Linked DNA regions of Oryzias latipes. The protein of the gene in region 1 interacts with the protein of each later gene in a pairwise test. Links are inferred from orthologs where the notes say so. Each region holds a gene or a part of one and is shown in the gene's direction. Other genes may lie near its edges.

The links.
Region 2: the proteins of disc1 (region 1) and eif3h interact in binary tests that used the Homo sapiens proteins (3 or more experiments, as listed by UniProt). The link is inferred for Oryzias latipes from reciprocal best matches to the Homo sapiens genes DISC1 and EIF3H.
Region 3: the proteins of disc1 (region 1) and ccdc88a interact in a two-hybrid assay, tested with the Homo sapiens proteins (2 studies listed by BioGRID and IntAct). The link is inferred for Oryzias latipes from reciprocal best matches to the Homo sapiens genes DISC1 and CCDC88A.
Region 4: the proteins of disc1 (region 1) and ppp4r1 interact in a two-hybrid assay, tested with the Homo sapiens proteins (2 studies listed by BioGRID and IntAct). The link is inferred for Oryzias latipes from reciprocal best matches to the Homo sapiens genes DISC1 and PPP4R1.
Region 5: the proteins of disc1 (region 1) and agtpbp1 interact in a two-hybrid assay, tested with the Homo sapiens proteins (2 studies listed by BioGRID and IntAct). The link is inferred for Oryzias latipes from reciprocal best matches to the Homo sapiens genes DISC1 and AGTPBP1.
Region 6: the proteins of disc1 (region 1) and dihydropyrimidinase-related protein 3 interact in a two-hybrid assay, tested with the Homo sapiens proteins (2 studies listed by BioGRID and IntAct). The link is inferred for Oryzias latipes from reciprocal best matches to the Homo sapiens genes DISC1 and DPYSL3.
Region 7: the proteins of disc1 (region 1) and kinesin-like protein KIF3C interact in binary tests that used the Homo sapiens proteins (3 or more experiments, as listed by UniProt). The link is inferred for Oryzias latipes from reciprocal best matches to the Homo sapiens genes DISC1 and KIF3C.

What each region holds. Positions count from the first base shown.
Region 1 is NC_019873.2:28,418,275-28,421,774, forward strand, and holds part of disc1 (disrupted in schizophrenia 1 protein), read left to right. Parts: intron 1-1,046; coding exon 1,047-1,915; intron 1,916-2,960; coding exon 2,961-3,030; intron 3,031-3,500. UniProt on the Homo sapiens protein: Involved in the regulation of multiple aspects of embryonic and adult neurogenesis. Required for neural progenitor proliferation in the ventrical/subventrical zone during embryonic brain development and in the adult dentate gyrus of the hippocampus.
Region 2 is NC_019874.2:13,853,647-13,857,146, reverse strand, and holds part of eif3h (eukaryotic translation initiation factor 3 subunit H), read left to right. Parts: intron 1-905; coding exon 906-1,055; intron 1,056-3,500.
Region 3 is NC_019873.2:15,842,598-15,846,097, reverse strand, and holds part of ccdc88a (girdin), read left to right. Parts: intron 1-644; coding exon 645-782; intron 783-1,448; coding exon 1,449-1,632; intron 1,633-1,725; coding exon 1,726-1,856; intron 1,857-1,986; coding exon 1,987-2,280; intron 2,281-2,597; coding exon 2,598-2,780; intron 2,781-3,233; coding exon 3,234-3,500. UniProt on the Homo sapiens protein: Bifunctional modulator of guanine nucleotide-binding proteins (G proteins). Acts as a non-receptor guanine nucleotide exchange factor which binds to and activates guanine nucleotide-binding protein G(i) alpha subunits.
Region 4 is NC_019863.2:13,845,844-13,849,343, forward strand, and holds part of ppp4r1 (serine/threonine-protein phosphatase 4 regulatory subunit 1), read left to right. Parts: intron 1-1,286; coding exon 1,287-1,393; intron 1,394-1,477; coding exon 1,478-1,620; intron 1,621-1,740; coding exon 1,741-1,887; intron 1,888-2,124; coding exon 2,125-2,232; intron 2,233-2,314; coding exon 2,315-2,380; intron 2,381-2,594; coding exon 2,595-2,753; intron 2,754-3,500. UniProt on the Homo sapiens protein: Regulatory subunit of serine/threonine-protein phosphatase 4. May play a role in regulation of cell division in renal glomeruli. The PPP4C-PPP4R1 PP4 complex may play a role in dephosphorylation and regulation of HDAC3.
Region 5 is NC_019867.2:10,962,960-10,966,910, reverse strand, and holds the start of agtpbp1 (cytosolic carboxypeptidase 1), read left to right. Parts: upstream 1-1,151; 5' UTR 1,152-1,316; intron 1,317-2,690; 5' UTR 2,691-2,717; coding exon 2,718-2,749; intron 2,750-3,265; coding exon 3,266-3,396; intron 3,397-3,951. UniProt on the Homo sapiens protein: Metallocarboxypeptidase that mediates protein deglutamylation of tubulin and non-tubulin target proteins.
Region 6 is NC_019872.2:5,631,665-5,635,164, forward strand, and holds part of dihydropyrimidinase-related protein 3, read left to right. Parts: intron 1-502; coding exon 503-644; intron 645-2,056; coding exon 2,057-2,227; intron 2,228-3,500.
Region 7 is NC_019882.2:17,758,973-17,762,472, forward strand, and holds part of kinesin-like protein KIF3C, read left to right. Parts: intron 1-9; coding exon 10-132; intron 133-2,318; coding exon 2,319-2,437; intron 2,438-3,405; coding exon 3,406-3,500.

The sequences.
Region 1 (3,500 bases):
TATCAGTCAGGATTTGGGCCAGAAGTTGATTGACAGCATGCCCAGTGGGAGTACAGAGGTCCTGAAAAGAAGGGCCAAGACTGCAAATACTGACTCTTTGCATAAATGTCATGGAATTGTCCATAAAAGCCTTTGAAATGTATGAAGTGCTTGGAATTCTATTAACTCTGAGAAAACTAAAATTTGTGTCCATGACTGTAGACTAAATAGAACAATGCCGACTGACATTCTGAAAAAAATATGTAAGGAGATTTGTGGGGTAAAATTAGAATTTATCAATAGGTCAAAATGTTTCCACCGGAAGAAAAAGAAGGTGTAAACAAAATATTAAAGGTGGGAGTGATGTTGTTTGCCTGTTACCTGCCCCCGCCGCCCCCTATTACCCCCTTTGACCCACCCTCACTGGCTGAACGGTTGCTGTACGCCCCTCAATCTCCCCCTTTTGCCTCCACCACCCTGGTCAGAGCTGCATGGGACAAATTCGCGTTTTCTTTCAAAATGGCGGCTTATCTGTTAGTTTTATCTCCGTAGCAACCATTTACGTTTTTGGTCGCCTAGGGTTGACAAACAGGTCTGTGTAATATTTTTTGAAGTATCAGCAAAAGTACTTTTTCGGATTTCCTTGGCAACTGAAGTTTTTGGTTAACCACGCCCACATTCCTCATATATTCGTAAGGTATTAAATATTGTTTCGTTCAGCTTTAGCCAATGACCATTTGTCTAAAATCTTTAGAATATTTCGGTAAAAAATATGCGATCAACAGGGGAACGCCAAATTTGTGACCTCGCCACGCTAACACAAACTTTAAAACCAACATTTTTTCCCCCGTGAAGCTTCCCGATGACGCTCAAGGAGTTGGGAGGTGATGGCTGCTTGTTTGTTCCAGCTTCTTGAAGAAATTTGCTATTACTTGACTGAAATGCTTTTTTCTTACTGTCTTTTATTAAACTCTCCTTTCATTGCAGATCCAGCGTTTCCCGCCCGTGAGCTCACTCTTCATCTTCCTCCTGTCGCGGAGCTTAACGCCTAATCTCTGTATCAACAGGTGGCAGAGCGTTGGCGACAGCTGGCAGCTCTGGGCGAAAGAGGCATCACCGAAAGCCAGGCTACATGAGAGGAGAGCAGTCCAGGCTGCTGAGCTCTGCAGGTACCGAGGAGGAAGAGGAGGAGGAGGAGGAGGAGGAGGAAGAGGCGATAAGCGGCTGCTTTGGGAATGGAAACTGTGGATGCAGCACCGCCGTCACCCATGGCCCTCCAGCTCAAAGACTGAGTCCAGCTCCTGCTTTAATGGTTAATAAACCAACGGGTTTGAGGAGTGAGGGCGTCCTCGGCCCGGCTGCAGACATCCATCCTGCTCCAGCAACATCCAACCATCTGGGTCTGACCTCAGAGCCTCATGATGAGCTCAGCTTAAGGCTGAGGCCGGCTCCCCAGACCTCAGCAGAAGACTCTTTCACGTCCAGTTTCAGTTTCATTCAGCAATCGCTCAGCTCCAGTCAGAGGACCGGTTCTTCAGCTGCACCACTACAGGAACCAGAACCACCTACCAAAGCCCCCGAAGGACCACAACCCAAACCTGACTCCCAGCAGAACTTCTTAAAGCTCTCGCTTCCTGTCCACTCTTCACCCGGCCACGCACAGAAGGAGGACCTGCCGTCAGGAGGGAGGCTCTGGCGGGAAAGTCAGTGTTACGGTAAAGAGGAGACCTCCCACCTTCTGGACTGCGAGCCCCGTCCTCTGGACGTGGAGGTCACCTCCTCGCTGTCGGTGGATTCAGACACGGCCTCAGCCTCCTCTTTCACCTCCGGTTACGAGAGCGCCACAGCGGGCTTGGAGTCGGGCTGGGACGGCGTGGTGAAGAAGTACGAGGGCGTGCTGCAGGCCTGCCTCCGAAACAACCGCGCCTACACAAAGGTGGGCATAGCGGATCCTCTTGAGGGGGGCAGAGACTTCAAACACATTCACTTTAAAGTGCTGTCATTGCTGAGGGAGAACTCATGTTCTGTAGACTGTTTCAGATCATTAAATCAAATAAATCATGGCGCTAAAGTGCGCTAAAGAGAAAAAGCAATTACATTTAAAGCCGCGAGTGGTGTAGTATGGTTTAGCCCTCCCTCATTGGCTGAGTGGCTGCTACAAGCCCCTCCCTCTCCTTTCATGCCTCTGCCAGCCTAGTCAAACTTGCATGTGAGAAGAAGAAAAAAGCACTTTTTTTCAAAAATGGCGGCTTTTCTATTTGTTTCATCTCCATAGCAACCATTTAGTTATTTGATCGTCCGGGGGGGAGGAACAGGTCGATGTGCATTTTAGAAGGATCGCTAAAAGTAAATTTTTGGGTTTCCTTGGCAACAGAGGTATTTTGTTAGCCACGCCCACATTCCTGATATGTTTGTATCGTATGTCATATAGTTTTGTTCAGCTCAGCGAAAACTTTTCTTCAAAGATGCAGTAAATAGGAAAAATTGCAGAAACAATCTGGTCCTTCAGTCCAGAACGGCTGTGGGACGCAGATAGTTAAAGTTTTGAATCTTTCGGTCCGTGATGGCTCAGGTCAGATGGATGTGAAGGTCATGACAACATTTAGAAACAACCACCTTAAATATCTTGTTCAAAGCTAAGCCCGACAGGAAATGGAATGATGAGCAACAAAGGTCATGGTCTGGCTTTCAAAATAAAACACAAACGTTTATAAAATTAAAGGTTTGGACCATTTGTCATTAATTAAACACATTTAAGTTATTTTCAAAATCTGTGTTAAAAACTGGAAGAAAGTTAAAAAAAAAATCACACTTTTGATTTAAAAAAAAAGAGAATGGAGCAGAGCATAAAGTTATGTTCATAAGTTAAAATCTCCAAAAGCAGCAGAACTTTCTGACAGAATGACGGTCATTGTACTTGTCCCGTTCCCTGTGGGCGGCGTCCTGTGGGCTGATGTCTCCGTCTCTTCTCTCCGCCTCAGATCGAGTCCATGATGTTGAAGCTGCAGAGGCTCCAGCAGAAAGCCGTTCTGGACGACGACTACGACGCAGGTGAACGCCAAACACAACGTTTTAACCCTCTGAATCAAGCGTTTTATGAGGAACGTTTTGCTTGCATGCCATTATTTCACCATTGCGTGTGTTTATAGATTTTCCCATTAAAGTTGTCGGAGTGGAAGGAAGTGTTTGCAGAGCGATTATGACAGAAATCCCAGCTGTCAAAGGACCGTCAAGATTCAAACATTCATCTGTTTAACACTCGTGATCTTTGGGCTCTACTGCGTTATTTAACAACATGGCACAATCCAAACATGTTACATATGATAAAAGACCTGCAGCTAAAAACGGTTTTTGAACCAACCTCACTGAGGCTTGCAGGCGTTTGTTTGAACGGGTCGTCTGAGGCCACGTGTCACTCCGGGTCAGGTCAGGACTGTGACTGGGTCAGAGCAACACTTTGATCCGGAGCGCTGTCATGATCCACTTCCAGCCAAACATCAGTCTCTAAATGGTTTTTGTTT
Region 2 (3,500 bases), on another chromosome or scaffold:
ATTTCTGAGTATTTTTTTATTTAAATCCTTGGGAATCAGGCACAGACACAAAAAACGCTGTTTGAAAAAGTTTTAGTTGCATAGAAAATACACTGGGCGGGCCACAAGCTTCCTGCCCTTCTGATGCATCCACTGGCAGACGACTAGATCCATGTACATCTTTATTTTCCTCGTCTGAGTTGGCATCTGGCTCAAAACTGTATGACTGGATTGCTCCGATATTTCTCTGCATTTTTGTTGCACTGGTAATTTTAGATTGGGAGTGTGAGGAGCTGCAAGCTTGCAGGAGAGCGTGTTAACAGAGAGCTCAGTTATAGGTGACAGGAAGTGGGGGCGGGGTTGGTCCACGCTAAAAGAACAACTCAGAGGTGAATTTCTAATAAACTCTTGCAGCTCTGCAGAAACATTCCTAGAAAATGACACAGGTTTTTTGATTTTGGCTTAAAACGGCATAATCATAATTCAAAGACCACCGGGAATGCTTTTACAATAGATCAAAAGATGATTGGAGTGGGACTTTAACTGTTGCACCACTCTGCCTGTGTTTTTCTGAACTTTACTTTCATCTTTTTTTTAATTGATTTAACCTAATTTCTTTCATTTTCACCACTGACACTCATGTGTTCTCATTCTAGCTGCTTCATTTAAGCCATCTGTCCTCTTGGAAAGAAACAACTCATTTTCTGTTTTTGAAGGGAACACGTCCTCTGAAAGTGGACTGTTATGTTGAGCTGTCTAACCAGATTTTTCCAGTGTTGATGGAGAAGAATGAAAGATCCATTAAAATACATTAACCGACAGATAAACAGAATCCAGGATCTGAATTCATAATCTGTTAGTGCTGGGTGACCCATGTTAGGATCACAACCATCAGCTTCATTTTCCTTTTCTCTCTGTGTTTACAGCTTGAAGAAGGCCAGCATTGGCTTTGAGAACATGTTTGAGGAGGTGCCCATCGTCATCAAAAACTCCCACCTCATCAACGTGCTGATGTGGGAGCTGGAAGACAAGTCCACCGTTGCAGACAAGCACGAACTGCTCAACCTCTCCAGCAGGTCAGACATAACCTCGTGCACCATTTTACCCAATTAATTTATCTTTGTAGATGAATTTAAATCAGTACATGATACTTTCCTCATCAGGAGGATTTTTGGAAGTTTCTTATTTTTTACTTGATTCTGTCACCTACTGATTTTTAAGCAGCTGTGATGATTCACATAAAGTAAAAAGGCTCCCATTTTAAAAAAAAAAGAAGAAAAGAAGACAACATTCATATTTTTAGAAGGTCTTTTGTCAGATTCACTCAACTTTCTCCATAAACGCAGATACATGATCTCATTACAGTTTTCTTGAAAGCAAAACTCAGAAAAACATAACAGACAGCATACCAGGAAAAGAATTTTAATCTGCTGCATCAACCGCACAAATTTAAGTCCTGATTCTCGCATACTTTAAGTGAAGGCTACACTTTTGTGCATTTTTTGAAAATACAAAATAAAGTCTCCTTTGATATGTTCTTTCCCCCCAAAATCTAGATTCTTTTTTAGACCATTTCCTTCCTGTCCTACATACATTTCCATCGGTGGTGCCTGAAGTCATTTCCTCCAATATTTCCATGGGTCTATACTTCAGTAGACAACCAATGGTCCAAGAAAAGAAAAATGCTTTCATATACTGAGTTGTCTAAGCTAAAGGTCAGGCTAATTCCTTAAAAGAAAAGAAAAAAGAAAGAAATTGTGGTGCCTTGAAATATTTGCAGAATGCTTAGAAAACATTCCTACAACTGACGAAATTTTATTTTAATCAGTAATTAGAAAATTTCCAAACATGGGATGTTCATGGAAAAACTAAAATATTGTTACAATTTATTACTCGTAGTTACTACAAGATTGCATAAAAATGGCTGTTTACCTGCTTGAAATCCACATCATGGTGAGTCTGGAAGCCCTGCTGGCTGCCTTCACTGGTGCGACTTAAAGCTACTGCTGAATTAAAATTGATTTGACATTAGGGAACTGTTGGGCATTAATCTCTGTCTTCTGCAAAGTTCTTAAAGCCACCTGATGAGAACAGAGACAGAAAAAATGATTGATGCCTGCAGCTTTATCCCTACCTCTGTCTTTTTCCTATTTTATAAACACAAAACAAAAACTATGAAAAATCACTCATGTACACATGCTCATGCAGTACACTGATAATGCATGCTTTTTTAATTTAATTCAGCTAACAAAACTAAGAGGTACTGGATCCAAATTCTGTCTATGAAAAGTAATTTCTCACAAAAGCTGTTTTGGATCTCCTGTGTTTGCCTATTTGTCATTTAATGCAGAGCTGACCAGCACTAATGTGCAGCGTCTGGGTCACATTCAGATCACTTTTGCCACATTTAATATGCGCCTGATGGTATCCACGAGGCCAAGGTCAGAATCGGCGGATCTGCAGTGCCATAGAAACAACTGCAACTAGCTGGATAAAATAAACTCTGCTGTCTCAGTTAATGAAGGAATGTGTCAGTTAGTGCCACGCGCTGGGCTTTTATATTAGCTTTAAATGGATTTAGAGGAAAATGTAGTTTGGTTGTAGAAATAATTCCTATAAAGTCTTGCTTCTGCAGACGACACTCGTGGCACCTATAAATGCTTTAAGCAAACATTTAAATGTCACACGTGCTTTTTATTTTCAGAAACGTGTTCACAAATAGGATATCCTGTCAAACTGCTGCGCATGATAGGAACAAAGATCAGCCCTGCACATCATCTCAAACTGAGGCTCTTTAAGTCGTGCATTTAAATCTCAGATGCTCTCAGCATCAGCCTCTGGAGCATTTATCAGCAATCATTTATGGAGATAAACTGCTGCAAGTGGAGCAACAGCAGTGGAGCTGCTAATCAAAAAGCTTCCCAGGGGCAGGTGTGAGAAATTAGCACAATAAGCACAGAAAATGCTGATTTAGACACGGAGGTGCCGGTTCTTTTCATCTACATTCTTCTATGTATGTAAACCGTTACTTAAATGAAAAGCACAAGAGAGCAGCTTCCTAGGATGTATGGCTAACCAAGCTGAGCACCAACAAAGTCATTTATTATGAGTTGTCAGATAGACTTGCTTATCTTTGATGTTATTCATTTTTCCGGTATGACTGCTATGAAGTTGAAACATAGCTTTTGATACTGCTCAAATGGGGGTGTATCATAATTGTCTTCCCCTCGGCCCGACTGACACGACTGCCCCTGCAGTGTCTTGCCAGATGAAATTGTTTCCTGAAGTTGTCAGATAGCTGCACGGCTCCGTCCTTGAAAGGAATTGTAATGTCCGTCTTTCTGCATCTTCTGCTGACAGCCCCACCCTTTTCCTGCACACTTCCACTCTTTCACAAAAAGAAAAAAAAGTCAACGATAATGGGTTTTATTCACTGTTTTTCCTTTTGTCTCATTTTCCAATCTGCAGCCCCATTTGTCAATGTCATCTATGTGAAAAGGCTCAGTGAGTGCAGTTTCACT
Region 3 (3,500 bases), about 13 Mb from region 1:
CTTTGTCTCACGCTGACTACAGCAATAAAAGAGGAGAAAGGAGAGGGAGGACAGAGAGGGGGATAGGAGGATAAAAGCAAAGCTGTAAATCCAGTCACCCCTGCACTGTCTTCTCTTTTCCTGTCTTCGACACTCAAACGCCCCTCGCTAAGAAAGTCTCCCAGCTATTTTCAGAGACATAAGACTCTCCTGTGTTCCCTGAGCAAAATAAATCGAAGTTTTTGTCACCAACAAAGAGTGGGGAATTTATTTCTCAGTGACTTGAACTCAAGCTGAAGCAAATTAGAGAATGAAAGCTAACTGGAAACTCGTGGCATAGAAACGATCTCATTAAATCCTGAAAATATCTAGATTTTATTTCCTGCAGACTTAATAATGAAACGGGTTCTGTTTTTGTATTAAAATTTGATTCCTTCTATAAGATTGTAAAACCGTGAAAAATAGATGACTCTGCAAGTTCATCTAAGGTTCTTTGAGCCTTCTGCAACTGGAGGAAACAATTCCCAACTTTAATAATAAAATAAACAACTGTTCCACAGTTATAATTCTGTTATAATTTTGATCATTTTATTTTAATTTATTTATTTTATTTATTCATTTATTTTTCACTTTATTTTAAAATTATCTATTTTTTTTGTTTACAGCTGGAGCGACTGGAGAGTGAGCTGATGGCAGATAGAGAGTCTCTCCGGAGCGCAGAGACGCTCAGCATGGACCTGATGAAGGAGAAAGCTTTACTAGAGAAGACTCTAGAAACTCTAAGAGAAAACTCTGAGAGACAGGTACAAACACACCTATTTATTCAGAAATTGTAATTCATAGATTATCAAAGTTATGCTCATTATATCAGTACTTTTTAAAAAGTATTTGCCAAATATAGGACACCCTCCACGATGATCCAAAATTCATTTTTTCATAACTGATTATATACAAACATTTGTACTCAAAGCTCAGTGTAATTTATTGAAGTTTGAGTTTAACTGAGAAAAGTCTTGTTATTGATTTGCTTTTGGCTCAGCGTATTATCTAGTGTTTGCTGTCATTAATGTTTTATTGACTGTGAAGCAGTCTGTGGCCCAGAGGCAGCCGCTCACTTTGTGTCTGTGGAGACTTTGTAGCTGTTAGACCCAAATCTGACACCTTTGATTAGTCTAACCATCTGATTTGTTAAATCCGGCTTTGATGAGCTTGAGAGAGAAAGAAAACAGATCTGCCCTCTCGGATTACTTCAGGAGTTGCCATCAGGCTGGTTGTCACCGCATGGAGATCTGAGATAACCTCCTGGTTTATTGTTATGAAGCTGATCTAAAAAAAATCCCTTCTGCTCTCTTTCATTGTGCGTGTTATGAAGTACAAGTAGTCACGTGAATCAGTTTCCTTCAACACGCAGCTGCTTGTTTAAACACAGCTTCAGGTGATGATTTAAACCTCTGCTGTCTGCTCTCCAGCTGAAGGGTTTGGAGCAGGAAAACAAGCACCTGAGCCAGACTATGTCATCCCTGCGTCAGCGCTCCCAGGTCGGAGCGGAGGCCCGGGTCAAGGATGTTGAGAAAGAAAATCGAGTTCTTCATGAGTCAATCTGCGAGACGACAGCCAAACTGAATAAAATAGAGTTTGAAAGGAAGCAGCTACGTGAGTGATATCTAGTCTGTCTGAGGAATACTTTCAGCAATAATTCAAAAACAGTTTTTTTGTTTTGTGAGACTAAGACATTTTTTTATGCAGGTAAGGATCTTGAAATGATGAAAGACAAAGGTGAAAGAGCAGAGGAGCTGGAGATTCAGATCCAGAAACTGGAGAGGGACAACGAGAGCCTTCTAAAAAAAGTTGCCAGCCTTGGAATCACCTGTGAAAAGGTCTGGTTTTTAATATTTCTTTTTCCTGTTTTTGTCATTAGATGTGTGACAGTAATTAAAAAAAAGTTTATAATATAATCATTCAGCAGTCTAAATTATTTGGCTTGAAGATGATTACCGGTACTTGTAGGTATCATCTTTGGAGAAGGAGAACACTGAACTAGAAGCTGAGGGCCGCCGTCTCAAAAAGAAACTGGATGCTCTGAAGAACGTAGCTTTCCAGCTAGAGGCTCTGGAAAAGGAAAACTCTCAGTTGGAACAGGAAAACCTGGAGCTCCGGCGCTCAGCTGAGAGCCTGCGGTCAGCGGGGGCCAAAGCTGCTCAGCTTGAAGCCGAGAACAGGGAGCTGGAAAGCGAGAAGAGCCAGCTGAAGCGCAACTTGGAGCTGCTCAAAGCCTCTTCTAAGAAGACTGAGAGGTTAGAGGTAAGCCAAGCCAGACAAGAGGTGCTTTTGCTGACGGAGTCCTCAGACCTGCTTAAATACAGCTGTGTAAATAACAAAAAGGGGCCTAAAAATAAAGTGTGTCTAATTCATACGTCTAAAGAGATGCTGTGGTCTTCCTGGGTTATGCTTACCAAAATAAGGGTTTATTTTCTCTACTAAACATTGTGAAAAATTTCCATTTAGAAATATTTCCACTGAGGTAGCACTAAACTGCTTCTGGAATATGGGGCCACTAGGGACCAGCACAAGTAGACCATGGAGAACTTTATTTTCTAATCTGGCTGTTCTCCTCCCAGGTGAGCTACCAGGGCCTAGATACGGAGAACCAGCGCCTGCAGAAAGCTCTAGAGAACAGCAGCAAGAAGATCCAGCAGCTGGAGGCTGAACTGCAAGACGTGGAAACGGAGAATCAGACGCTCCAGCGAAACCTGGAGGAACTCAAGATCTCCAGCAAACGACTTGAGCAGCTCGAACAAGAGGTAAGTTTACGTTCAGAAAAGGAAAAAAATGTCTTATTCTTCTGCCTTACGGAAACATGTAGTTTTGCTTGACAACTTGTGTTGTTTTTTTCTTCTGAATGGTTTTATTGTGAGGATAATGAGAGCAGTTTAGTAATTAAAGTTGAGACAGACTAAAAACTGCTTTGATGATCATTTAAAAACAAATCTTAAACAAAAGAAAAAGTTAAGAAGATAATATTTAAGAAGTGTTAGCAGAAGTGGCAAATCAGTTTAACTTCATTTTGATGATTTTACAGCCAATTTTTCCCTGCAGAGATGGATTATCCCAGATTATTTTGGGGTTTTTTGGCTTTTGATTTAAACCTTGCTCACTTTAGCCAAACATCCATGTACAAGCCATTTAGACCATAAGTAATCCCATCCGATGCTGTTTTACCCATCTGTGCTTCATTACATGCCGTCCTTCCCCAGAACAAGAATCTGGAACAGGAAAGCTCCCAGCTGGAGAAAGACAAAAAGCTTCTGGAGAAGGAGAACAAGCGGCTGAGGCAGCAGGCTGAGATCCGGGATTCCAAGTTGGAAGACTGCAACCACAGAATCTCCTCTCTTGAAAAAGAGAATCGAACCATGGGCAAGGAGATGATTTTCTTCAAGGACTCCTGCACAAGAGTCAAAGAGCTGGAGAAAGAGAACAAGGAGCTGGTCAAACTGACCAATATTGATAAGAAGACACTGATG
Region 4 (3,500 bases), on another chromosome or scaffold:
TGGCTGGTTTGTAATAGAGGAATTGATTGACATCCTCTGAACTGTTGATGATGGATTCCACAGTACCAATGTGTTTTGAGAAAGATAAATGACATAAATGTACATTTGACCAAAGCTAACATTTTTTTCTTCCTTATGTAAATGATAAATGAAACCATAGATAGATAAAAACTTGACATTAATTTTCTACCTGCTGTGTTGCTGACATGTCCTGTTGGTGATTCATGTTGAAAGAATCGTGTCACACCTTGGAAGTCTTGGCAACAAAGAAGTTGTTGCTCAGCAACAATTACCGGTAGCCGAAAGATCTTTTTGCTTTGATTTAGCAACAATTACGGAAGTTTATTTTTAAAGTAAAATTAAAAAGGACCAGACAGATTATTAGTTCTACAAATTTTGGTAGAAAACAACTGTCTTTACATTTTAAATCTCAAATAATATATGATATTGATTGGTTTATTGATGTCTTGTCAACTATTTATCTGTAAATGTAAATTGTATTGACTTAAATGGTTAGTTGTATTATGAAGTATGTTATCAATATGTTAATATCTTACTTTTTTCAAACGTATTTTTTGTAATGTTGGTCTGTTTCGTTTTATCGCCTAATGTCTGAACTTGTCTTACAGTCATCAGATTGCACGGTTGTCATGCTAGCATAGTTTGTAATGAGTTCTGCAGAGTTGACTGCAGTTCCACAGACATTTACACTCCGCCAGGCTCCATACTAGGCCTGCACAATGTATCGCATATTTGTCGTTATCGCAATATCAAGCTGTGCAATATGCATATCGCAAAAGGCGGCAAAAATCGCAATAAATGGTTACATTAAATATGCTAAAACAATCTTATGGATGCTTGAAGTATTTCACGAAACAAACAAATCCCTTTTTGTATTTGACCAATCGAATGGACTCCTTTACATCATAGACCAATCGGATGGAGTTCTATCATGTTAAATGTTCGTTTGTAGAACGATGTAGATGTGGGTCATTTGGAATGCAATTTTTAAACTGTTGCAGTGAAATGAAAATGATGTTTTTGGTTATTTTGCTACATGTTCATATAGATCGTCATTGCAATATTAATCACTAATATTGCATATTGCAAGTTTTCCTCATATCGTGCAGCCCTACTCCATACTAACAGTTTCTTTCGTTTTTTTTGGGCTGGTCATTTTTCAGTTAACATACTTGATGTTCTTGACAGTTCTGTCAGTGCTTTTTAAATTAGTGGCTTGTATGCATTGGCAGGCGTTTCATTAACTTCAAGCTTTTGCTTTCTAGGCAAATCGTGGCTCGCGGCCTACTTGATGTGCTTCGAGAGTTCAGTGAGAATGAAAATGACTTTATCAGTGTTATGGAGACTGTTGCCAGAATGTCAGAGGATGGAGGTAGATGCTTTTACGTTCTTGTGATGGTCTTTAGCTGGGGTTTGCTCGTGTTCCCTTTCCTCATGAACTGTCATGTGTTCTCAGAGCCCACAGTGCGAGCTGAGCTAATGGAGCAGGTTCCTAACATCGCCATGTTTTTGCACGAGAGTCGGCCAAACTTCCCAGCCGCTTTTTCAAGATATTTGGTACCTATTGTGGTCCGATATCTAACTGATCCAAATAACCAGGTAGGGATTATCGGTAGTCTGTTTTGTATTTTTTTATAGTTGAAATAAATGATCTTTTGGAGCAGTTGAATATTTTTCTCTCTTTTATTTGCATGAACTTGCTTCCTTCATGTTTTTCAGGTGCGTAAAACAAGTCAGGCAGCCCTGCTTGTTCTGTTGGAGCAGGGCCTAATCTCCAAAGCCGACATGGAGACCAAAGTTTGTCCAGTTCTTCTTGACCTGACAGAACCCGCCAGTGATGATGACTACAAAATTGAGGCAGTTGCTGTAAGAATCCCCACAGCTATTCATATATGTGATGCTCAGATTTCTTACTTTGTTGTTTAATTATCATTGCCATGTATTCACTATTAAAAGATCCAAAATGCATTCATCGCTGGTTCTAGTTTCATGTGCTTACAGTGCTCTCTGCTGTAAGAGCATTTGTGCTGGTTTCAGTGTTTAGGTGCAGCACAGTCTGAAGCTGTGATGGCACAACATCATCTGCATATTTCGTTGTTACAGATCTTGTGTAAAGTTGTAACTATGTTGAGCAAAGACACAGTGGAGCATCTGTTGCTGCCCCGTTTTTGTGACCTGTGCAGTGATGGTAGACTCTTTCAAGTGCGGAAGGTAAGTCTTCACCACAACACACTTTTCAGTATCTGCATTGTTTTCTAAATTCTTTTTTTTTGTTTTTTCTGGTGTGTTACAGGTGTGTGCGGCTAACTTTGGTGAGTTTTGTTCCATTGTTGGACAGGAAGCAACAGAAAAACTACTGGTGAGACTAAATAACTTTTTTTTTCCCCATTTGATTTTAACATAATAGCTTTCTGTTTTATTTATTTTTTTATTATCAGAGATGTTTTAATAAATCATCTTTAACACTTGTTTTTTAAAGCTGCTAAAAGGTCAATTCATGTTTGAGGTTTCCATTAGGAAGTTGCTTCTTACTTTGTCCTCTGATGGGGGTTCTGCTTTTGTCCTAAATATAGATGCCCAAGTTCTTCGAGCTATGTTCAGACAGCCTTTGGGGCATAAGGAAAGCTTGCGCCGAGTGCTTCATGATGGTTTCCAATTCCACTTCTCCAGAAGTCCGACGATCGAAATTGTCGCCTTTGTTCATCAACCTCATTAGTGACCAGTCCCGCTGGGTAAGGTGCACTCAAAACAAAAAAAGTTTCTCTCATGTTAGCTAGTAAACTGTATGGACCTTTTTAGCATCCCCTGACATAAAAATAACCACTCTGAATAATTTAAAACTACAGTTGTTGTTGTTAGTTTTTCTCTTGTGTATAAATTTTCAGGGATTTAACTTACTTAGTAAAAAGGGCCACAAATGTGTTGTTTGGGACTTGTGGCTAAAAAAGTATTAAATTAAAGATTGACATGATGGAGGACATATGTAAAGAAAATTAAGCTTAAAATTTCATGTCTAAATATTTGTTTATTCAAATCGTTGTGAATCAGAAGCAGGCACAAAAATGTCATTGGGTGTGACATAGAAGCTACTGCAGCAGGCCGCAAGCTCTCTGCTCTGCTCCATTCTGATGCATATGCTTGTTGACAGACAGATCCTTGTTTTCCTCGTCTGAGCTACTATCTGCTCCAACTGTACGACTGGAAAACTCCAATATTGCTTGCCTTTTTTGTTGCACCACTAATGTTAGGTTGGGGTTGTGTGGGACTGTAAGCTAGTGGGAGAACATATAAATAGATGTGTAATGGGAAGGGGGTGGGCTTTCTCTACACCAACGGTCCCTCCCACAACTCAGAGGTTGATATGTAACGGATTACTGATGCTCTAAAGAAACTATGTCCTAAAAAAATGACACATTTTTTAAATTTCATCTAAAACAGTCATAATTCTAATTAAAAGACCACTGAGAACACTTCTAAAA
Region 5 (3,951 bases), on another chromosome or scaffold:
TTACCCATTGCACAGATTTTTAAGGTTATTTAATCTTTGTCATTGTGTGTGTTGTGACAGGAATCAATCTGTAAACTATTTTGAAAACTTTCTGGTGGCGAAGACTTTTTCTGACCAAGGTAGCTTTTATTAAAGGTCATAGGATGCCCAAAACCAGAACTATTCAGACCCTAAATAAACATGCAAACAGTTGGATTTTTGACAAGCAGACGAACCTTAAACTTATTATTTTCTATGCACTGCGACTAGAACAAAAGGTAATCAATAAACTTTATTGATTTATGAGGCTTTATTAAGTTTCAATACTACGCCAGTGAAATTCACTGTTATCAGCCAATCAATATGCAATAAATATACATTAAAATTATAGTGAATAACTTCATATGACTTAAAGTAAGTTGGTTAAGAAGCAATATCTTCTAAGAACTGACAAACAGATCATGATGATCATGCACTGACTCAGTCAGAAATTAATAACACAAACAATGCGTTACTCGTGTTTTCTGTTGTCATTAACACCTCTGTGGTATTAGGTGCGGCTATAAAAAAAACGAAAAACAAACCAAAAAAAAGTTGGAAAAACCCACAATCGATTGACAGATGTTAAAAGGCACAACACTCTGTTAGCTAGGTTCAGCATAAATGAATCTGTTAGCTTAACATTCGTGTGCAAACACAAGCTAATGTTGACCACATAAGACATACCTCCTAAAAAAACAATAGTGGATACCATAATATATTACTAAATTGCAATAAAAATAAAAACACAAGAAGTATCTTCAATAAGTCAAGAAATTATTGTAAACACACATACCTTAAATTATGTGGCTTATGAAGAGCACTCCGAAGACCATTGAGAATGGCGCATGCATTATGCGTCATAGGGTTGTGTCAGTCTGGGAAATGTAGTCTAATGGAAATATAAAATATAGATCATTTAGCAAACCAATATACACATAGAAATCAGAGCAGTCTATATATCTCTATTAGTGTATTGTATTAACTACTTAGTCTTTATTTTTCAGTAAAAAAAGAGAAAGTAATTTCAATGGTCTTTTCTCAAATGCGTTCTGCAAAGGTTGCGATGTATAAATAAAGTTAGACAAAATGTTCGAAGCGCTTTACCGGAAGTAGCCCGTTCTTGCTCGTGCGCTTTACAAATCGCCACAGATCCGGATAATGACGAGCCAGCCTGACAGTTTACTCATCACAACATTACCAACAGGGCGTTTCAAGCAATGTTTAGAAGCAGTAGCTGCAACACTTATCTTGGAATGGGTCCACCCTGATCGTAACAGCATTTCCCTTTCATTCAGGTTCGTTCCGTTGTGATATTTTTAAGCACAATATTGCGTAGACGATACATTTCTTTGGCTAAGGTTGCTTTGTGCTCTATATTTAGCTTTAGCCTAAAAGACCCGTTAGCCTGCGGCCGTAATGACTGTCTAGCAGGTGCAGTGTCCACTAGCCTTTTCTTGATCATCTGATTTAAAAGTATAATATGTATATTAAAAAAAAAAATAGTAACAATGAAGCATATGATATCTGAGTTTTTTTGTTTGTTTGTAATAGCATCATATAGTTAGTTAACGGACAGGAATGTTTTTAATGCATTTTTGGAATGTGGAAAAAGAGCTGCAATTCTAGATACCACTTTAGAGTTCAAATCTGTGCTGGAAAAGCTTTCTAACTGATTGTACATCAGCGTGGCCTTATCTTGGAGCTGAACCTGTACCCCAACAGCTCACACAAATAAAAGGGTGACCTGCCCAGTGCTACTAGATGAGTAGTCTGTTGCCCTCTTAGTCAGCAAGCGTCTGAAAAGTCTGAATCGTTTCTTGTAAGGTTAAACATATTTATGGTAAATTTGTGACATTTGTATCCAAAAATTATACACAACAGGGCCATGAAAAGAAGACACAAACTGGGTTGTCTGCCTCATAATCTTATCTCTCCTGATAGTTGCTCTTGTTTTGACTGTCTGCTCTAATCTTAATAGCTATACTACTATAAACTACTGATATTGTTTTGTGGCAAAATGACAGGACGTTTATTAATGCATGCTTTCTATTCCAAACCTGATCTTAAGTTATAGCTCGTTTTCATCTGGACATCCGAGACCTTGGACGAGCTCATTGTTATAAAGTCAGTCATGAAGCACTCTTTGTGTGAGATTAGCTCCTTTCCTGCACTGTCAACATTAGCCATCTGGCGGGTGCAGTTTCCATACTGTAAAATAGCCTGGCTACATAATTTGTGTCTGTGCACAGATGGGAAACTTGCAGGAAAAAAACAACAACAATATTTTATATATCCTTTTGTCTCTGTGTTTTGCCTTTATCACCTAACCATTCAATGTAACAACATCAAATTATAGGTATATAACTACAACCAAAATGTTAATATATCTTTGTAAGAAATTTTTTTGCAGGAAACCTCAAATGTAGGAAAAGATTACTTTTGCATACCCAATTACACACAGGTCACCAAATATCTGAAGCATATTTATAGATCATTGCATTCAAAGCTTGGGACAGTTAAGCTTTACTGCCAGCAGGTTTAGGCTTAGTCAGATGTCTGGCTATGGCCGGAGTGCGGTTTGGAACTTCTTTAACAAGTGGGGGGTAAAAAAAAAAGGTTAACAAGGCTTGTTTGTGAATGCTAAAGATTGTGTTGTCTTTCTCGTACAGGCAACATGACATTTTGAGCTGGTGAAAATGAACAAACCCAAGATGGCCTCGGAAAAAGGGTGAGTTGATGCATACAGGCACATGGAGGTGTGAGTGTTTGTGCATATTAAAAGATATACCCACTTTTTTGACCTATCTTTTTCTCTATATAAGGGCTTGATCCTTTCTGCTCAGCTAGGTACTGGCAGAGTTTGTATTCTCTGTCTAGCGCTTGCCCTTGTCGTAACAACTGACCCGTAATCTCCTGTTTCCACTGGACTGTCAGGAAGCTAATATTATTAGCAAAGGATGGGTCACCGAACCAGAAATAGTGAAGCCATGGGACCTTAACCTTAGCAGTCAGTTTACAAGAAACAAATCTTTTAAGTTAGACTTCATTTCTTTTTGCACACAATTGATTCATTGACCTTCCAGTCCCTGTGTTTATGGGGCTGTCTGAAAATGAGGGGGCCTCACACCCCTCATCGAATAAAAGCAATCCGTCCTTTTCTGGACACGAGGTGCATTCCCTCTCTAGCTATGCTATTATATAACTTCTTATGAAGATAATTGTGTCTAAATGCTCATTCTTCCAGCGTTCCCAGTAACTCCAGTCTTCTCACGCTTCTGGACCAAATAGAGAGGATGAATGGGGAGGCCATGCTCAGGGATACTGAACTGGCCAGACATGTCACGGCAAAAATCCTTCATCTCATCCAGACACAAGGTGAGAACATGAGCAGAAATACTAAGGTGCATGTGAGGAGATTCACAAAAAGTAAAAAAAAAAAAAAATTCCTATCGATTGGAATGAAGTTAAATTGTGGTCTCAACTTAAGCTTATGTAAAAGAAATATTGATAAGAGGACTTTATTTTGTAGTTCTAAAAAGTATTTGCAGTATTAAAATATATTTTAAGTATTAAAATGTATTAGTATTTTATTCTCTCTTGTTTTCTGGCAATGGTGTTATAGAGGGTTTATATTACGGTAAATGTAGAATATTTTCTACAAATGAAATGAAGATCTGATCAATTGGCAGTATTTCTGATTTGTGAAATTTTAGCTTGTTTATTCATTTCAGAAATAAATTACAAAATCATACATTTATTATTTGTCTTTTACATTTTTTTTACTGTTAAAAATAAAAACTTACGAACAACATTTTTTCTAAGGCTGAAAAATGTGGTTTAATAAAGACAAAAGTATATATATATATATATATATATATATATATATATATATATATATATATATATATATATATATATATATATATATAT
Region 6 (3,500 bases), on another chromosome or scaffold:
TTAAGTTGATGATGCAATTGATTTCAGTTTGATACTTGCATTATTGCTAAACTTTATGTTATGGGGAAATATACTTCCATGCAGAACTGTAGACATAACCTCATAAGTAAAGAAAACTTCTATCAGAATTGTTTTGACTTAGCATAACATATATTATTAAAATATTTATATCTCAACTTTTTGCACAAATTTTAATTCTATTTCTTTTTTTTAATAGGACTCATGGAAATGCATTGTGATTTACTGATTTGCAAAAAAATTCTGTTCGCGCTCTTCATCTGGAAATAGAGTTATTGTGTCATTCAGGAAACATTCATAATGTTTTGTCCTGGAAGAACAAACTTTGGCAGGCTGCTTGCTCCAGCTTCTTTCTGTTCTTTTCTGCTTGACTTCTCCAGCTGAATGAAATAAACACATTCCCTCATGTTGGCAGAGTTTTATTCACATACACAAACTTTTCAGCGTTACACTAACTCCATCTTTCTTTGACGTTTTCCTACAGCGGAGACCTGAGCGTGACTGGAAGCGCTCACTGCACCTTCAGCGTGGCCCAGAAGGCCATTGGCAAAGATGACTTCACTCAGATCCCTGAAGGTGTTAATGGTGTGGAGGAAAGGATGGCTCTCATCTGGGACAAAGCAGTGGTGAGGGGTAGTCGGGTTATCGCTTTTCAGTTTTTTAAACTTTTCTATACTGATGACTTAAAGTCCCATGCAAATCATCATTTGGTCTTTTAAATTACGATTATGCTGTTTTTTGGCAAAATAAAAAAAAATCTGTTTTCTAGGACATGGTTCATTAGAAATTTAAATTCTGGGTGCGACTGCTGGTCTGGAGCAACCCCCACCCCCTTCTCCTCCCCATTACTGAGCTTTCTGTTTCCCTCACTAGCTTACAGCCCCTCACAATCCCAGCCTAACATTACCAGTGCAACAAAAATAGCGAGCAAGATCGGCACTATCAACCGTTTTGAGCCTGATGCCAGCTCGGATGAGGAAAACAAAGACGGACATAGATCTTTTTGTCTACAAGTGGATACATTAGAAAGGCAGTGGCCCACCGACTGTAGCACCTGCATCACTGCTACTGTTTTTCTTCAAACAGCTTGTTTTCATCTGCTCCTGATTAACAAGGATTTGAATAAAGAAATACTCATAAGAATTTTAAGCTTAAAATTGGGTTTCTATGTCCTCCATCATTAGAAAAATGCCACAAGAACATGTTAAAAACACCAAAAAACATCAGAGTAGGTCTTTAATAGATAGATATACATGCCTTTATTTGTAAATGGTAATACTTGTATAACACTTTCTACCTTCCTCGAAGGCCCAAAGTGCTTTACAGTCACAAACCCATTCACTTAGTCACACACACATTCACACACTGATGGCGGCACCGCTGCCGAACACTGGCGCCAACCTTCCACCAGAGGCAAGTGGAAGGTTGTTTTGTTGTCACTGTCGACCTAGACTATGAACTTAAAATTTAACACAAAAATGAAACTTAAAATAACTTAATAGAAAATAAATCAATCATGAATATACAGTCAAGCTGAAAATTGTTCATACCCCCAGTAAAATCTGGAGATGTTCCTTTTTGTTTAAATGTAAACTATTGCCAGGGGAAAAAACAACTTTCTGGATGAATAAAAATGAACTTCCAGACTCTGTCTCTCAGGGACATGAATAATTACAGGATGAATTGTATTGGCAGTATTTCTCCTTTGCAGCAAGTCTTGTCTTGGTAACAGAGAGAAATCTAGAATGTCAAATACAGACAGTTTCTCATGGTGGTGCATTGATGGTGTTATTTTGGGAGATATATATTTTGGGATGTTTTGCAGAACGTCTCTTTTATAGTTTGCAGTAATTTTTGTCCCCTGAATAAACTGTCTGCAAATGTACGTTGGTGACTTTGTTGTTCTCTCTTCTCCACTGATCCCTCCATCTGTTACTATTTTAGCTGAAGCATTAATAAATATTAATAGGGAAATGTTTTTGAGTTTTCTTTTTACTTGTGAGTACTAATCTTTTAAATAGTCTTGTTCTGCTTCTAGACCACAGGTAAAATGGATGAAAACATGTTTGTGGCCATCACCAGCACCAATGCCGCCAAGATCCTGAATCTGTACCCTCGCAAGGGTCGGATTGCTGTGGGCTCCGATGCCGACCTGATCATCTGGGACACAGACTCTGTTCGTACAATCACTGCCAAGACTCACAATTCGGTATGTACTGCAGAGCTTTTGTTTCCTTAGAGGGCTAAAGAATCTCTTACATCCTGCATTTTTGCACACTCGACTCTCATTTAGCTCTTTTTTATTTCAACTGGAACTGTACATCCAAGCATATTCACTGGAAAAACTAATACAATGAAATAGGATTTAGCATGTTTGACAAAAAGACAATGACTGTCTTGTGTGGTGGGACTTTGTGACATAAATTCCTTCAAGTGTTAGTCAAAAAAGAAACAGACAGTGAAGGAGTAAGTGCACATTTTTGAGCATCTTCCAGATCACTCTTAGTTCCGCTGAACGGAAACAAAGTCTCACTGGATGCTCACTGCTAATTCAAATCACACTGCACTCATCCTATGACCTGCTCTGCTCAGTGGAAAAAAAATCCCAAACCGCTTAGCTATGATTTAGAAACATATGGATGACTCAAACAAAGGAGTTTATCCATAGAACCTGCTGTCAGATCTAAACATTTTCCCTAATGCTCTTTCAGCTGAACTCCAGCATTTTTCCTGCAAGATTCATTTTATTGCAGACACTTCATGCAAATTTTCCAGTCAAGGATCTTGTTCAAAGAATATTTGACAATCAAGCTTTGATTTGGTTACATTTAGATAAACTCTCAAATTAAGTTAAAATAAATGACTTTTGCTTAGGTCTGTTTATCAAAAACACTTGCTGGTTTTCTTTCAAACTACAAACCTACTCACAATTTAAAGTCAGATAAAGTTTCTACAGAGATTTTCTTTCCCATGAAGAGAGTTGTAAACTGTCAGGGACCCATTACCTTAAAAAAAGAAAGCTTCTGATGACCTAATAATTCCAACTGAGTAGTTTTTATGACTTCATGCATCCAGAGTTACATCCTAAAAGTTGAAGTTGCATTCAAAGTATGTGAAACAAAAGGTTCTTCCCACTGCAGATGTGTTTTGTCTTCACTCCTCGTGTCTTGAGACTCATGCTGCACCACAGGAGTTCAGTGCACCTGGTATTTGCTAGAATGACATGACAATTGCACAACACAAGCTGCTCGGCTGCAAAGGAGAAGCTAGAGTTTAATGTTTGTTAAAAGCTAAAATATCCTGAAATGACACCAGAGGGGAGCAAAGTGGAAAATTTGATGTTAATAAAGTAAATCACTTTCTTCTTTTTGCATTTTCAGACGTGTAAGCTAAACTGACTAATAATATTCTTTTTTTAAATGTGGAGAACATCTACAGAGGCTCTTGTATGATGATCTCACCCTTTAATTTCCTGCTAGTTT
Region 7 (3,500 bases), on another chromosome or scaffold:
TGTTGTCAGACTCGCAAGGAGAGGGAAATCCAGCAGCAGATGCTGGTCCAGGATGAGGAGACGGTGGAGCTCAGGGAGACGTTCACGTCTCTACAACAGGAAGTTGAGGCAAAGACCAAAAAGCTCAAGAAGGTGGGTCTACTAGCTTTCAAAATAAGTGTGAAGAAACTGGCTCTGCTAGATTGGACTGTATTGATAAAATTATTAGGTCCGTACCCTGTCAATTTCTTGAACACAGAAATGAATGAATAATGACTCAGAGACAATACTTAGCTTCAGTGAAGATTTACTCCGCACAAAAGGCACAGATTTGTACAAAGGGTTACAGACAGATGAACAGGTTACTGCATCAAAGTCCGAACAACGGAGCTCAAAGTCTGAACAAAGAAAACAGGAAAATGGGCTTGGTATATAAGTCCTGCATTTGCATATTCAGAACATCATCCGATGGATGGTGGTGTGAAAAATCCACCCCCAGTTGCAGGCTAGATGTTCGAAGGTCAGAGAGCTTAAAGTGTCAGATCTCTCTGAGGTTATCACAGACATTTAGCAGAGCGCACACACCAGCACACACAAAGATGGAAGGGGAGGATGCTGAAGGAATGTTACGAGACAATAGTCTTGATTGTGCCTTGTAATATAATTTTGAGATGATAATACATAGTGAATCAAAGTTTAAACCATCAGTGTAATAAAAAGTAAAAGTGAGTTTCTAACTATTCTGTTTCTAATTATTCCTAACAATAAAGTAACCTATTTTTTAGAAAAATTACATTCACATTAGATGACAATATTTACATTTACTTTAAATGACCAGTTTCACATAAATTGAACCAAAATGAAGAAGCAGTGTGTGGAAAAGTATTTACTTCCTATGGCTGAGTCCTTGGCTTTATCTCCATTTCATATTATTTTGGAAAAGTTGTGATCTTCGTTTACATAAAGAGTATTTATTCCTAGCAGTGTGAAAAAAGACTAAAATACTGAATGAAAGACCCACTCAGTTGAAAATTGTGTTTTTGGTGTTTATCTTGTTCTTGTGGCATTTTTCTCATGATGGAGGAGATATTTAAAGATAATTAGGCCTAAAATAGCATTTGTGAGTATTTCTTTGTTCAAATCTTGTGAATAAGGATCAGATATTTTCAGAACCAGAATCAGCAGACAACAAAATACTGTTTGAATAAGATAGTATTTGCTACGTAGACAATACTCTCGGCGGGCCACAAAAAAAGAATAAATAGATCCACGTGCGTCTTTGTTTTTATGGTCTGTAAAGCTATGATGAAAATTACAGGCCTCTCCCATCTTTTTAAGTGGGAGAACTTGCACAATCGGTGACTGACTAAATACTTTTTTTCCCCACTGTATGGCAACATAAAAAGTAAAAATAGGGGAAAAAACAGTGAACAAGATCTTTTTCAAAAAGTTATATATCTGCTTTGTTTACTTATGGTCAGCTTAAAATAGTTTGTACAAGAGGCAGCAATGCTAAAATACTAATTTAATACTGAAATACTAATTTAATGCTCAGTTCGCTGGAGAAACTTGAAGATATTTAGAAGACAAAATTAAGTGACCACCACACAAAGCATTATAACAGAAAATGTACGTCTTTCACAGAACATTTTAGGATCATCTATGAAAACTCAACTTTGACAAAACTGTTTTAAAAAATCTAATTACACAATGTTTATTTAAAATACCTAAGTAAAATTCAAAATTTGCTTTAAAAACTTTAAGAGATTTGTAAAGTAGAAGACTAAGGCAAATACTGTATCAAAGTCTGAAAATTTACCATGATAAATTTGTGTTCTAACATATTTCAGACAAAAAAATCTAAATTACACATCTGTTTGACTCCTTTGAGGTCATATGTGTGAGTCCAACAGATGTGTACACATCCTTTCACTCGACTCAGTGACTCGCGTTGTGGTTTGTTTACATGAAAATCTCTATTTTCAGTGTTTTTGTGTTTAAAATATTTGCAGAATGTCGTCCACATTGCAATAAAATGCATCTTCACTGCAGTTTCGGGGTTAAAAGTCAGGCTGAGCGGCTGATTTTCAGGCTGAAGTTATACAGAACAATGTGGGGGCTAAGGGGTGCAGCAGAGAAGTAGAGGAATGAACCAAATTGAGGGTGGGGGGCGGACTTGGCGTGCTCCCATTGGCTGGCCAGCTCTCCAGATACCAGTGCCCCCAGTGCTGTTGCTATGGGCAACCAAGCTGCTGCAATCTGGAGACGAGTGCACCAGCAGATACCCCAAACTGAGAAGCTTGGCTCCTCTCAGCCGCTGACTGTTTGTGTTCCTGCAGCTGTACTCCAAGCTGCAGTGCATCAAGGCGGAAATCAAGGACATGAACGACGAGCATGTGGGGAGCCGGCAGGAGCTGGAGCAGACTCAAAACGAGCTGACCAGAGAGCTCAAGTTCAAGTGAGTCACAACAGCGTCCCGAGGAAGTGCAGGCACCAGCACGTCTCAGCTTCTCGGTTTATCTTCTTCCACCTGCTCTCTCACCTCACACACAGCAGTGTAAATCTGTTCTGTGCAGAGCAGGGGTCCCCAAATCCAGGCCTTGAGGGCCGGTGTCCTGTTTTCCAGAATCACTGCCCTATTTGCTGCTGATTACCTGGATCAGGGGTGTTTAGCCAACAAGGAGCTTCAGTAGCCGGTGGGTTAGAAAACATGTCGGACACTGGCCTGGATTTGGGGGACCCCTGGTGTGGAGGATATTTCTAAACATGAATCCCTCCCAACAACTGCATACCACTGAATGAACTCCTTTTGGTATCTACAGAGGACATTTTGGGCTTTTCAATCATACCAAACGTGAAGGGGTGGGGCTATGGGCTGCCTTTTGTAAAGTGACAAAGTCAGATATTAACAGCAAAACATTCATTCATCTCTTAAACCTGTTTTGTCCCTTTCGGGGTCCCGTAGCCGCTGGAGCCACTCTTGGGCGAAGGCAGGGGACAGTCCACATAAATCACACACTCACACCTAGGAACAATTTAGGGTAATCAATGAACCCCGGAGAAAACCAACGCATGCAGGGAGAGAAACATGCAACGTCCCCCATTCTGTTTCAGGTCCCCCTGGCGGGACTTGAACCGGGGACATTCTTGCTGTGAGGCAAGAGTGCTAACCAGCAATATTTTTGGTTATTTAGCCTGTTTTAGAAGAAAAAAACCAGGTTTCATTTTTCCGATACATATTTTCACATTTTCATTCACGTATTTATAAATGTTACATTCATCAACTAACATTTAGTACCGTAAGCAAACTCAATATTTAGTTTATTCTATTCTTCATAATTCATCTGTTTGTCTCTATGCTGCTCTTTGGTTTGATATTTTTAGGCTGCTGTCTCGCCACATTAAAGCTGCATCATGTCTGCACAGGTATCTCATCATTGAGAATTTTATTCCTCCGGAGGAGAAGAATAAGATCATGAACAGGCTGACCTTCGACCCAGAGGAGGATCAGTGGAATTTCC